Tribolium castaneum: one gene and its partners. The protein of the gene in region 3 binds, or shares a complex with, the protein of the main gene of each other region. Links are inferred from orthologs where the notes say so. Each region holds a gene or a part of one and is shown on either strand. Other genes may lie near its edges.

The links.
Region 1: Bap170 (region 3) and Snr1 share a complex: the UniProt entries of both Homo sapiens proteins name them as parts of the SWI/SNF-B (PBAF) chromatin remodeling complex. The link is inferred for Tribolium castaneum from reciprocal best matches to the Homo sapiens genes ARID2 and SMARCB1.
Region 2: Bap170 (region 3) and polybromo share a complex: the UniProt entries of both Homo sapiens proteins name them as parts of the SWI/SNF-B (PBAF) chromatin remodeling complex. The link is inferred for Tribolium castaneum from reciprocal best matches to the Homo sapiens genes ARID2 and PBRM1.

Annotation. Positions count from the first base shown.
Region 1 is NC_087401.1:13,705,477-13,709,783, forward strand, and holds the start of Snr1 (SWI/SNF-related matrix-associated actin-dependent regulator of chromatin subfamily B member 1), read right to left. Parts: upstream 2,865-4,307; 5' UTR 2,639-2,864; coding exon 2,367-2,638; intron 2,320-2,366; coding exon 2,012-2,319; intron 1-2,011.
Region 2 is NC_087397.1:6,258,107-6,262,483, reverse strand, and holds the start of polybromo (protein polybromo-1), read right to left. Parts: upstream 2,862-4,377; 5' UTR 2,720-2,861; intron 2,413-2,719; exon of another isoform or gene 2,391-2,412; 5' UTR 2,387-2,390; coding exon 2,261-2,386; intron 2,212-2,260; coding exon 1,901-2,211; intron 1,852-1,900; coding exon 1,413-1,851; intron 1,367-1,412; coding exon 1,190-1,366; intron 1,144-1,189; coding exon 853-1,143; intron 804-852; coding exon 708-803; intron 540-707; coding exon 369-539; intron 323-368; coding exon 15-322; intron 1-14. Other genes in the region: thioredoxin domain-containing protein, read left to right, coding at 2,927-3,065, 3,113-3,298, 3,351-3,489, 3,537-3,698, 3,746-3,871, 3,919-4,078; Fdx1 (adrenodoxin-like protein 1, mitochondrial), read right to left, coding at 4,149-4,377. UniProt on the Homo sapiens protein: Involved in transcriptional activation and repression of select genes by chromatin remodeling (alteration of DNA-nucleosome topology). Required for the stability of the SWI/SNF chromatin remodeling complex SWI/SNF-B (PBAF).
Region 3 is NC_087402.1:3,512,488-3,516,084, forward strand, and holds part of Bap170 (AT-rich interactive domain-containing protein 2), read right to left. Parts: intron 3,515-3,597; coding exon 3,296-3,514; intron 3,240-3,295; coding exon 2,157-3,239; intron 1,635-2,156; coding exon 1,388-1,634; intron 1,330-1,387; coding exon 942-1,329; intron 790-941; coding exon 595-789; intron 1-594. UniProt on the Homo sapiens protein: Involved in transcriptional activation and repression of select genes by chromatin remodeling (alteration of DNA-nucleosome topology). Required for the stability of the SWI/SNF chromatin remodeling complex SWI/SNF-B (PBAF).

The DNA of each region.
Region 1 (4,307 bases), on a different chromosome or scaffold from region 3:
TCGAGTTGCGAGATATACGTTGTCAATAACTATATAAGTGACTAAAGTTACGTTTGCTGATTTTTTTGATATTGAAAAAAAAACCAAAAACTAGTCGCTCAAAAGCACCAAACATTATTTTTTATACAATTTTTTTTTATTTTTTTTATTTTAAAAAATCGTCTCTCAAAAATACCCAACGGTTGTTTTGTATTTTCGTCTTGTTAAATTTTTTTTATAAAAGTTTAACAGTTGGTAATTGAAACCCTAAATATAATTTCTAATATCCCGATTTCAACAAATATAAAAATAATAAAAATAAAAAAACTACGAAACTAACAACAATGCACAAAATATTGTGTAATTAAAAAAAATACTCTGTTGATGATGAAGGATGACAGTCAAATACATGTTCGAACTAAAAAACAAAAAGACAGAAGAAAAAACGAAACTTCTGAAAAAAAAAAAAAGTTTTTTTTTTCTTGAGTTGGTATTTACTTGGTCTAAACTTTAAATTAGGTCGGCTATAGATAAAAACAAAGGTTTGGGACTTGGGCCCACTCTACAATTATCAAATAACAAAAATGGGAGAATAAAACACTTTTATTATTATTAAATTTCTCAAAAATAAGCCGAAAAGTCACTAACCTGCGTCAAAAATGGTGATAATTTTGCATTTTTTGGGAGTTTTATCACCATTTTAAACTTAAAACTCAATTATTTTACATTTTTGAGCGTGTTTAGTACATTTTTCAACAGAAATACAGTTGGTTAGAATAATTAATAAATAATAATATATTAAATAGACTGAAAAAGCACCTCAATTTTTATTTAAATTGGCTTTTTGACAAAATTCTTCAAAACAATGGAGATTTTCGCTCAAAAACTTACTTACTTACTTAATGAAAAAGGCAAGAAAAATATGAAAGTAAATTTTTCGGCGCATTTTAATGCAATTTCGTATAAAAACAAAGCTAGATTATTTTAAGAAATTAAGCTGTTAAAAAAAACATTACATTTGATTAATTCTGTCACGAAACTTTGCAGTTCCTGGCTCCAAAACAAATAAACCTACCAGAAATTCTTAAAACTAGGACGTCAATTTTATCTCAATTTGCTTATTTTTGACAAAATTTTACAAAAAAGTCAGTTTCTCGCTAAAAAAAATAAATCTAACGACAAAAACTAAAATAATGTCGAACCAACCGTAACTTTCGATATATTTAGATATTTTTCGGGGTATTTAATAAAAAAAAAGTTTTCAAAAAAGAGAAAACATTGTCAAAATGACATAAGTTTTGACATATTTAGATGATTTTTCGGTGCATTTTCACGAAATGTGTCCAAATCACTACTGAAGAAAACGTCAATTTCGACCTAATTTAGTCATTTTTTGACAAAACTTTCAAGAACAAGTAAGTCTCATACTCAAAAACAAGATAAGTTTAATAAAAAAAAGGCAAAATAATCTGGAAATAACGCTATTACTCAACATATTTAGATGATTTTTTAGCGTTTTTATGAAGTTTTGCTTCAACAAAAAAGCAAAGTCACTTTAAAGAAAACATACACTTTAATCTAATTGGAACTGTTTTTAAAGAGTGTCAAATTCAGGTCATTTTCGACATATTTAGATGATCTTTTGACGTGTTTTAATTAAATTAAACTCAAAAAAAGTTATAAATCATATTAAAAGTGTTTAAAAATGCGTTTTATCAAAAAATTTATCATTTACTACAAGTTTGTAGTTAATAATCAGGACCCAGTATCAACAATATGGTGTCAATTTAGATAACAGATGTAACCTTAGTTACTAGACTACAGTCATTGCCAACATATTTTTCTCGTATCACGCAATCTTGATTAGTTTAAATGACTGGTGGCAGGTTTAAAAATTATTCAAGAATTAAATTTCAGATCAAAATGCGCTAATAAGTATTCGAAAATAAGTTGATAAGAATAAATAATGTAAAAGTTACAACTTTATTTCAAATGCAGAGCGTACTGTGATTAGAAAAACCCAAAAAATTACCGTTTTTATTCCACGTGAAAGTGTCTCTCAGCTTCTGCCCCTCAATTTCCATATCCAGCCTTATCGGGACCAACAACTCCCCTTGTGCCGCATTTTGCATATTCAGCTCTGGATCAGTATCATCAAAACATAACGGAAACGTCCGAACTTTCTTCGCCGCCACTCTGTTCCGATTAATCGGGGTGGCTTGGGGCACAGCGTCCAAATGACTGGAGTTTGGGAGTGAGGGCACCCATTGCATCGACTTCTTCGATTTACTCTCCCTCGGCATCGGCGGGTCCGAAGTGTGCACCGAAACAGCCTTATACCTAAATAATCAACAAATAACAACAAAACCCCCAAAAAACAAACCAACTTTTCGTCATTTCCCTCAATGATATCCTCGACTTCCGAGGCCCGAAGCAGTGAGACACTGCTGGCCAGAACGTGCTGGCTCAAGCCCAGCTCGATGAGGCGTTTGCGTTCCTCGTTTGTGATTGACCTGCGGTACATTCCGGGGTATTTCTTGTAGAGGGAACCCCGGAACAGGCGCAGGTAGTTCCCCACCTCGGAGCCCACACAGTAATACTCCCCATTTTCCTCCAATTGGAAAGTTATCGGTTTTTCACCGAATGTTCGGAGGGCCATTTTGCCGCGTCCTTTAACACTGTGAGGTTAGGTGACACCAACAAATGTCAACAGGGCACTCAAATGGAAAATACGGGCATAAATTACACAAAGCAAGGACACGATTCACATTATTTCGTTTGGTTTTGCACGAGATGGTACTTGGGGTTAATTAATTCAAACAATTCGTAAAAAAACACTTTTGGTGGCTAGTCTAATTGACAAAACTGAAATCACCAGAAATGCATTAACTAGGCGTCCTCTGGTGACGACATGTCGTACTTGCCGAAAACAGTAACAAGTTTTGGTAATTGCTCATTTAATGGATTATTTAGCAATTCTGCGTGTGTACTGTTAATTTTTTACATTAGAGAGAGTCAATTTAAAATTATATGCCGGTAAATACTAGTGTTGCCTTTGGTTTTGCGTTTTTTCGTGATTATAAAGTGTTTTATGTTGGACTTTGATAAAAAAGTGAAAAAGATTTTTGATTACAAAGAGTTATTTAATCTATTGCGTAATCAAAAACTGTTAAGTATTGGGTCATTTACGGCGATTTACACACTACTGTTCCTTTCGGCATTGTATTGAGATCTCCGGATAATTTTATTGACTTAAAAGATATAAATATTGAAAGAAAGTGTTATTTGTGATAATTGAAGTAATTTGTTTAAGGAGATACTGTAATGAATCACTAATAACCAATAATAATCCATTTAAATAATCACACAAAAATCAGCGTTTGTGATTTTTTTTGCTTTATTTCTTTCTGTAAGCCTTCGAATTTTATCAGATTTTTTCTACAATTTCTTATAAATAATAAATATTAATTAATGAGAAATATTTATATTAATAAAATATTATTTTATTTAAAAAAAACTAAAAACATTAACTAATGGAAATTTTTATGATTTATAGAACAAGCGATGCTTGCAGAATGTTTTGTACAAAAAAAAATATGTAAAAAAATAAGTGTTCTACAAACGACTTGTTATTTACAGAAATACAATTTCTTTATTTGTTAATGCTTTTGAAGATACGTTCGATGAATAAGTAGATGTGGTTTATAATTATAAACCTAGTGTTTTCAAAGATATGAAATTACGATTCTCTTGTTTTTCTAAAGATGTCTTGTTCTCATTTTTTGATATCCAACGGTTTTATAACGTGAGATTTCTGAATTTTATTTATTTTATTTAGTTATAGTTCATTAAACATTCATAAAAGATATAGGACTGCAATAGCTAAATGGAAAAAATTGAGGAACAGCGAAATAATTTTGGAAACATGTTAATTTTAACCAGCTGAGTCAATTGTGCCGCCCGACGTCACACCTAGAGAGACTTTGAGGTCTCATAACTTTTTTATTTTTACGAACATAAAAAAATGAAAAGTACCATTAGTTTTACAATTATGAAGACTATTAGTGGTATTAATTTAAAAATGTAAAATTCTAGAAACGTGAATGTTTCTAGAAATGTCTTTTCTGTCGTTGATTTTCTGTTGGTGACCAGAATTCCCGCTTGGGAATGCTAGTGACAGATAAAAATCCCTAGAAATGGGGACGTCAACCTAACCTCAAAATTATGCCCTGTGCCAATTTCTCCGCCAGAAAATCTAAAAATACCGCAAATGCTCGGTAAATCTATTTCGAGCGTGACTTCATGACTGAGATGAGCCAAGCAGCGCC
Region 2 (4,377 bases), on a different chromosome or scaffold from region 3:
AGCCGGAAACGTACACTCTGACTACGGTTTTTTCCTTCTTTTCCGGAGTGACACTATGCCCAACTTTATCCAACAGATGTTTTTCCAAAACGAGGGAATCCTCGTAAATTGGCGAATTTTCCTCGTTAAACTGTCGGCAGTTCGAAAACATGAGCTTAAAATCTTTGACTAAGTCACTCTCGGAGCTGTACTGATCGGCGCGAATTTTTTGCTCAATTTCGAGGAAATCGATCGGTTCCGAAATGACTTCGTAATATTCCGAATACAATTTTTTCGAGGGTTTTTCCATAAAGCCGAGCATGGGCTTTCGGCCATCCTCACACTGAAAAATGGCTAATAGAAAAAAAATTGCAAAACGTGTAACTGACAGTATAGTCGAGCATATATTTCGCTAAAGCGTGCAAACGTTTTTTTAGCGGGATTGGGTCTCGCGGTGGACGCCCTCTTTGTGGCGTGCTGCCACTCGATTGCGTATTTTTTGGCTTAGGTCCTGGCTTTTTGCGCACAACGACTTCGGAATCTGCCTCACTGTCTGTATCCTGAAGATTGAAAAAGACAAAAATTTAAACAATTACCATCAACTCAAACGCCTGATTAGGAAAATAGTGAAACAAGCCGACTGATGTTAGCAACGTAAGCGCCCACAAAATGAATAACTCCCGACAGTTAATAAATGCAATGAAGACATAAGCAGTGCAGTAGCATACCTTCCGGTTTTTGTTAGTGACTCTGTATGTTACCTGATCAATGTCAAGTAGTTCTTGCACTTTCATTTGCATGACCTTTTGCAACTTGACAGCGTCCTGGAACAAACTCGCTCAAATTTCACGTTGAAAACGTTACCAAACTCACTTTATACAACCTTGACGACGGCAGGTTATACTTTTTCGCATTCTCAAACATTATGGTCATGTCACCGGCCACTTCGCTTATGGTGCCATAAGCGTGCTTGGTCAGTTTTCGTTTGATTTGAGTCAAAGAGACTGGGTTTTTGATCTCGCGGTAATAGTCTGGATAGAAACGTTTCGAGGGCAATTTCCAGAAGGGTTCGCTCAAGGAAACTCCGCTATTACTCGTCACTGAACGCACAGCCTCGAACAATTGCCACTGGGGATCTTCGACATCAAGAGGATCAGCAATTGACTGAAACAATTCATTGAAAAAACGACTTTGCACTTTGATTTGCTACTTCATCGTCCATCTGTTCCTCTGGTTCCACCTCAGCGTCCGACTCGTCGTCCCTTAGGGCTGCAGTGACCGCAGATAGCGATGTACTGCCCCTTAACCGTTTATTCCTAATGCGTTCGCTGCTTTTACCCAAACTTAATTTAATGTGATCCAGCTCGGCTTTTTTACTTTGAATTATCTACAAAATACTGAAGGGTCAATGGTACAAACAACCCGGCTCTCACCTTTTTCAGCGCTTTCGCGTTTTTGTAAATCTGCGAACCGGGTTCGTTAAACAAACAGGCGTTTTTGCACATTAACATCAAGTCTTTCTCGAGCTCGGCCAAGCTGCAATAGTCGTTAGTTTGGATTTTGGTGGCAATCATTTTTAGATCGATGGGTTGTTCGATCACTTCGTAATACTCGGGATATTTTTTCTTCGAGGGAATTAGCTGGAAAGAAGTGTGAAGTGGCCGATTTTCATTATCGGTCGCTGTCATGACTGAAGTGAACAGCTCCTCGTATAAATTGACATCGTCGTCGAAATTCGAACTCTCTGAAGTGTCCTCAGAGTGCTCAGGTTCTTTGGTTTCGACCGGAGTGCCGGCTTTTTTGCTCGGTCTTCCGACTTTTAACACGATTTTTCCCTTAGGTTCGGGTTCATCGTCTTTGGTATTAAGTAGTCTGAATTGAGACATGGCTAAGTGTTAATTAATTTAAAAACGGGACTCACTTGTGTTTGTTAGAGAGAAACAAGGCCCACAAATCTATGGCGTCGCGATACTCCTGCGAATTCTTTTTATAGAAAGCTTTCGTGTTATTGACAATTAACTCGATATCGTTCTGCAAATCCTCGATATCCTCATATTCCTCAGTTTTCAGTTTTTGTTGCACTTTCAACAAATCGATCGGGTTTGAAACAACCTCATAATAGCCGGGCTCTTGTCTACGTTTCGGTACTCGAATAAACGAATCGCAGAGAAGAGTCCCGTCGTCTTTTTTGTGATTGCGGATTGAATCGTACAATTGTTGACAAAGTTCCATCTAAAAACAAGGCGTCACAATGTGGAACAAACTCGCAATTTCCTGTTACAGGATCTAGTTTTTTGCTGCGCTTTCGCATCGTAGGTCCTGTACTAGTCGAAGCCTCCAGACTATCCAAAGAATCGTCTTCTTGCCCCCTACTGGCTATAGAACTCGTTCGACGCCTTTTACTCATTATGCTGAAAAGGTTTTCAACCAAGGCTACATTTAACTAAAGTAGTGAATCGTACAGAAATCAAATTACAGAAGTCTTAATTCAAATGAGCGCCAATTGTTGTGTCAAATGACGTCGTAAACAAACGCTAAACGGAATACCACGGACGTCGGTAACCATAAACACGCGCCAGAAATAGCTTATTGACAATGTACGATTGTCAAATCTCGTTAATTGATTTTTTATTATTGAAAAACACAATCAATGGCCGTAAAAATTAATACAGTCATGGCCTTACACTAATTGGGCAAATATCATGAAACAACTGCTAATTATGGTTGCAATTGGACAAACCTGGATTCAGTTGATCATCACACAAGGAAAAGTCCACAAAAACACACCGTTTTTGCAAATAAACCCTTGCACTTCACATTTGTGCACAAATCATAAATCGATAATAAAAACCGGCATCACTCGTCAACAAAATGGCTGATGGTTGACAATTCTGGGGGATTTTCGTGTTGTTGAATGTTTTGGGTTATGTGAGGTTATTGAGCTAAAATGAGTAGGTTTTTGTATATTTTGTCGTGTCTGTCCGTTATTTTCAATAGTTTTTGTAACTGTGGTGCAATAAAATCAATCCAGGATGATGATCTCATGAACTTAATCAGAAGTGAGACTTATGTGGTTGCGCTGTTTTGTAAGTCCCCACTTTGCGTTCCTATCAAGATTGAACGAAAATTCCAGCTGCGAAAAATTGCGAACTTTGTGATAACTTCGAAAACATTTTAACAAATTTGGAGGAAGAGTTCTCTAAATCATTTGAAGGAGAGACTGTTAAAGTCGTTAACAGCCAGTTAACAAGACTGTATAGCCCCACGAAGGAGCCGGTTTTGGTGTTTTTCAGACATGGAATTCCTCTACTTTATAATGGTATTGCTACATTTAACCGTAATCAATTTTATTCGCATTTATTTTGCTTTAGATATTCCTTCAGAAGAGCTAATTCTTCACACATTTGTTAACAATAAAGAACCGGTGGTGAAGGAATTAAACGATGAGACTTTTGAACACTTAACCCAGGCCGCCAGTGGGGCTACCACAGGCGACTGGTTTGTGATGTTGTAAGTCTTTTTAAATGGTTGTAGATTTTTGTTTAATTTTTTCAAAGTTATACCCCAGACTGTGTCGATTGCCACCGCCTTCAAGCCCGGTGGGAGACAGTCGGGGCACAATTAAAAACACGAATGAACGTCGCACGAGTCAATAAGGCGACAGATGGGGCCGCTACCGCCACACGATTTGGAGTCTCCCAAGCCCCAACTTTTATTCTGTAAATTGACTTCTCAATTTTGTTTCAATTCTCACACATTTTTTTAGCTTCAGACAAGGCAAAATGTATAAATATCAAATCCAAAAGTACGACGTTGCGTCTTTCACTTCTTTTGCCCAAGAATGGTACAAAAACGTGACTCCCATTAAAGTACCATCGCCTAAAACGCCATTGTAAGCAATTGCAATTTATCTTCTTGTGTTATAATGGAATTTTTCAGTGATAATATTGTCGAAAATATCGTACTTAATTTGAAGGAAAGCGCAATGGCGTGGAAAATTGGTTTAGCGGCGACTGTTGTTGGTTTCTTGTTGATAATTTTAATGAAATGTCGTAAGACTGAAAAGCCGCAAAAACCGACAAGCAAGAAAGACAAATAAATTTTTAACACTTTTTTATTAAAATAAATTGGTGGCTGACTTCATAACTCGTTATTTACACAATAGAAGGTTAATGAGGCGCTGGTGTGTGGCCATCAACGTAAAAGTTCCTCGTTGCTTGTGGCAATTCTAACTCAAGCCCTTCTAATTCTTTGGTTAAAATAATCTGACAACCTAACCTAGAGTTTTCTTTAAGAAACGGCGCCATGTCTAACAAATCCTCTTCTTTTTCCTCAGCTGGCGTAAGTTCGTGATCACTTTTCACATAAACGTGACAAGTGGTACATGCTAGGGAGGCC
Region 3 (3,597 bases):
TTGGTTCTCTGAGAAAAATTGTGATACAAGAACAGGATTAAAGGGTTAGTTTGCAACTCCTGTATTTATTTATTTATTTATTTATTTATTTATTTTAAATTTGTAATATTTTCAAGTAATTGATTGACACATTGTACTTATTGTGATTTTTTTTCAATTTCAGTAGGTTCGCTGTATGGAGATGAGAGGGCAAGGTAAGTGTATTTAATCTTTTCCACTTATGGCCCGCTAAAATGTGAGTTTATTATTTTTACCGATCATAATACGAGTGCATATTATAAAAATAGCTAATAATATTATAATTATAATAGAAAGACCAGCTTTAGATGGGTCGCCCTGCTCACAATACGACGTAATTATATAAAATTACTAGAAAAACACAATAAGCATTATTCGAGTCGTATTAGTAACAAAATAAACACATTAATAGAAATTGTTAGTAATTTTATTACAAAACACTAAAAACATGCGACGTACTTGAAAAACGCAATTAAAGACTTGAGGCTGTAAATAGTTAAGGAAAGATTCGTGGTTTCCTTAATTATTTCTTTCTCGTGTTTTGTTTTTATTAAGCTAATTTGATTAGTGTGTTACCTGAGCTACATTTTGGCAGTCTGTTGCAGTCCTCATGCTCACTGTAGTCATGCAATCGTTTACCTTTGTGGCCAGTAAGCTTTTGATGAGTGACGTGTTGCTTTGACCTGCCTGATTATCTTTGCTTGAGCCGGCGGTCGTCTGCGCTGAATTGCTGCCCAATAAAGCTTGGCTCAAATGCGGATGTGCCATTACCTTAATGCCAAAAAACTCCAATCAAACAGGGGAAAAAATCAATTATATTTGATGATATGTGTTAGGGGAAGGTTAGAAATTATTATAAAGGGAAGAAACAGCGATAGAAATGAAATGAAAAGTACGGACAGCCGTTTGTGCCTCTCAATTACCTGACTTTTCATATCGCCTTTACTAGTGGGCGGCGAAGCCACAGTGGCGTCCCTCTGTTTGGGGGGAGCACTTAGCTGCGCCTTGAGGATAGGTGAGGCGGGAGAGACGGGTGGGTTATTCATAGTGTCGTTGGAATTACTATTGTCGGCCATGACCGTCAAAGTTGGCGTTTGTGAGGGACTTGTTGCGGCCGATTGCTTATTTCGCCTGTTTGGTCCTTTAGTGGGCTGTGGTGGTGGGGTGGTGGTGACGGGATTGGTGGTGGAAGCCGGTTGGATATTAATAATGAGGGGTTGAGCTCGCACCTTTATCCCTTCATAATACTGGGGCTCGTTCGCGCTGGACGGCTTCATCGGATTCGGGCCAACCGTCCCGCCAAATACTGACCTGCAGCACACCACACAAATAAACATCGCGATTTTTCGACTAATCAGCCTCAGCTCACCTAACGCATCTCGGAAAATGCAAGGGTGAAATCACCCCTCGTCGACCGATTTTCGAACACGAATTCAGATACTGTTTGTACAACTCCTGGTGATCCACTTTGCCGTTCACGCAGGGCTCGTACGTGGCCCTCAGCCACGCTAAAGCAAACTGCTCGTTCTCGTGGATGGCCTGCTGGTGCGCGTGCTGTTGCTGGATCAGCTGCTGGGGGGTCATGGTCTGTGCGGGCGTCGTAGCAGTCGTCGTTACTAAAAATTATTTCAGGTGAACACACCAATTTTTAAATATTTATTTTTCAATATTGACTTTGCACAGAAACATGAAAAGTGACTTCGCTATGTAAATGATTAAATAACATAACTTAACAAGTGGCTGACAATAATCAAATTGTTCGTAAAAAATCGTCTCATCAGTATTAAGGCAAGAAAGCCGTTCCAAAATTGGAAAAATTGGCAGAAGAATCTCCAAACGTTATTTTTTTCTATCGAATTTAACTCGGCTTCTGTACATTTTCCTGACTAAAACATCGTTAAAAAACCACGAAAAATAAAAAGAAATCGGCTACATTCAAATTTGAAACTGGTTTTATTGTAAACCAGTCCAATTCTCTATAAACCAATTTTATATGAATAGACAAACGACTTTTACAAAAAATATTAAAGTAGTCGTTTCCTTGTCTTACAACTGTATCAATTCTACTAAATAATAAAATAACCAGTTTCTGCGTTTTTCTCTATTTAAATAGTTTTCCTGCTTGTGTTTAAACGTACCGGTTGAGGAACTCGGCGTTATAGTCAAAAGCCTCTGAGGCGTAATTTGTACCGTCCTCACTGGCGTCGTCTGCACACTCGTTTTGACGGCCGTAATCGTCGATAAAACCGCACTGGTGGCCGTCGTAGTCGTCGAGGTGCTCGCAACAGTCGAATTTGTCGTGGTGGCGACCGGTGTCGTTATCGCTTGACTTGCCGTTGTGCTAACGCCACCAGGCAGTGTCTCTACTAATTTCATTCCGATGCAGGCTTTCGGTCCGTAACTTTTCCCTTCGACTGTTACTAAAGACACAAGAGTGTCAACCACGCCGTGATTGCTCACAATTAAATTACAGGAACGTTCCCCAAGCGACGATAACGAATACAAACACTCCAAAGTGTAAATGAGTAACATCACATCGTGAATCGTTAAAAACGAACAAACTTTTTCGTAAACGTCAACTTCTAAAAATCGCAAAAGCGTTTCTTCGTTCAGTTCATTCTGGCTTAATTTATTTAAAACTTCGAGGGAAGAAATACACAGCGCACGATCTTCGCTCTTCAAACCGTTAACGATGATTTTTAGTAAAATCGCCGAGAATCTGTCGTTGGGATAATCCTTGACTAAAAAATCCGTCGCGATGTTACCCAACATGTCCAAACCTAAATTCTTCAAATATCCCCATCTCGACGACGCGCACAGTAACAAAAACCGCAAAAAAGTCTTGTTTTGTAGTAAAATCGGTACGTTCTCTTCGATAAAACTGAGATTCCTTAAAATTGTAGTCACTTGAAGCACTCTTTGGCCGATGTAGTCTTGGGTGCCGAGACCGCGTTCCAAACAGAACAGTTCACGATCACTTGGGGTTATTTTAAATCGTTTATTATCCGTTATTTCACAGTCACTATCAGAATCACATTTTTCCACGACGATTTCCGATTTCGCACTTTCGCCACTATCGACACTTTCGGATTTTATAAAGACGGAGTTTTCGTCGGTGAGATCCAAAAATTCCTTCGATTCGAGCACTTCCGACCAGAAATTGTGAATGGGGTGCTTTCTGACCGTCGAGTAATTATGGACGAAGAGACGTCGGAGAGAGCCTAAATAATTATTACACAATTAATTCAGCGGCATTTTCACCAACTGCAATACTCACTATGGCAAAAAACACCAGCATGTGCCAAAAGATAATCGACGATTCGCGGGTGTTTCTCGAGTTTGAGTGTGTGTTTGCCATCGTTGGAGAGTAAAGTACAAACGTTTATGGCAAAATCTTGCTCGTTGGGCAACGGCGATATCAACGATAAGGCTAGCCTGTCGTAATCAGACGATTTGTATATGCTCGTCGACAAATGGTTGTACTCTCTGTTCGTATCTGTAAAAAACCCAAAAAATAAATACACTATCTTAGACATAAGTTTTATTTCTTGATTTAACTGTATTTGGTATTTTTCGTTT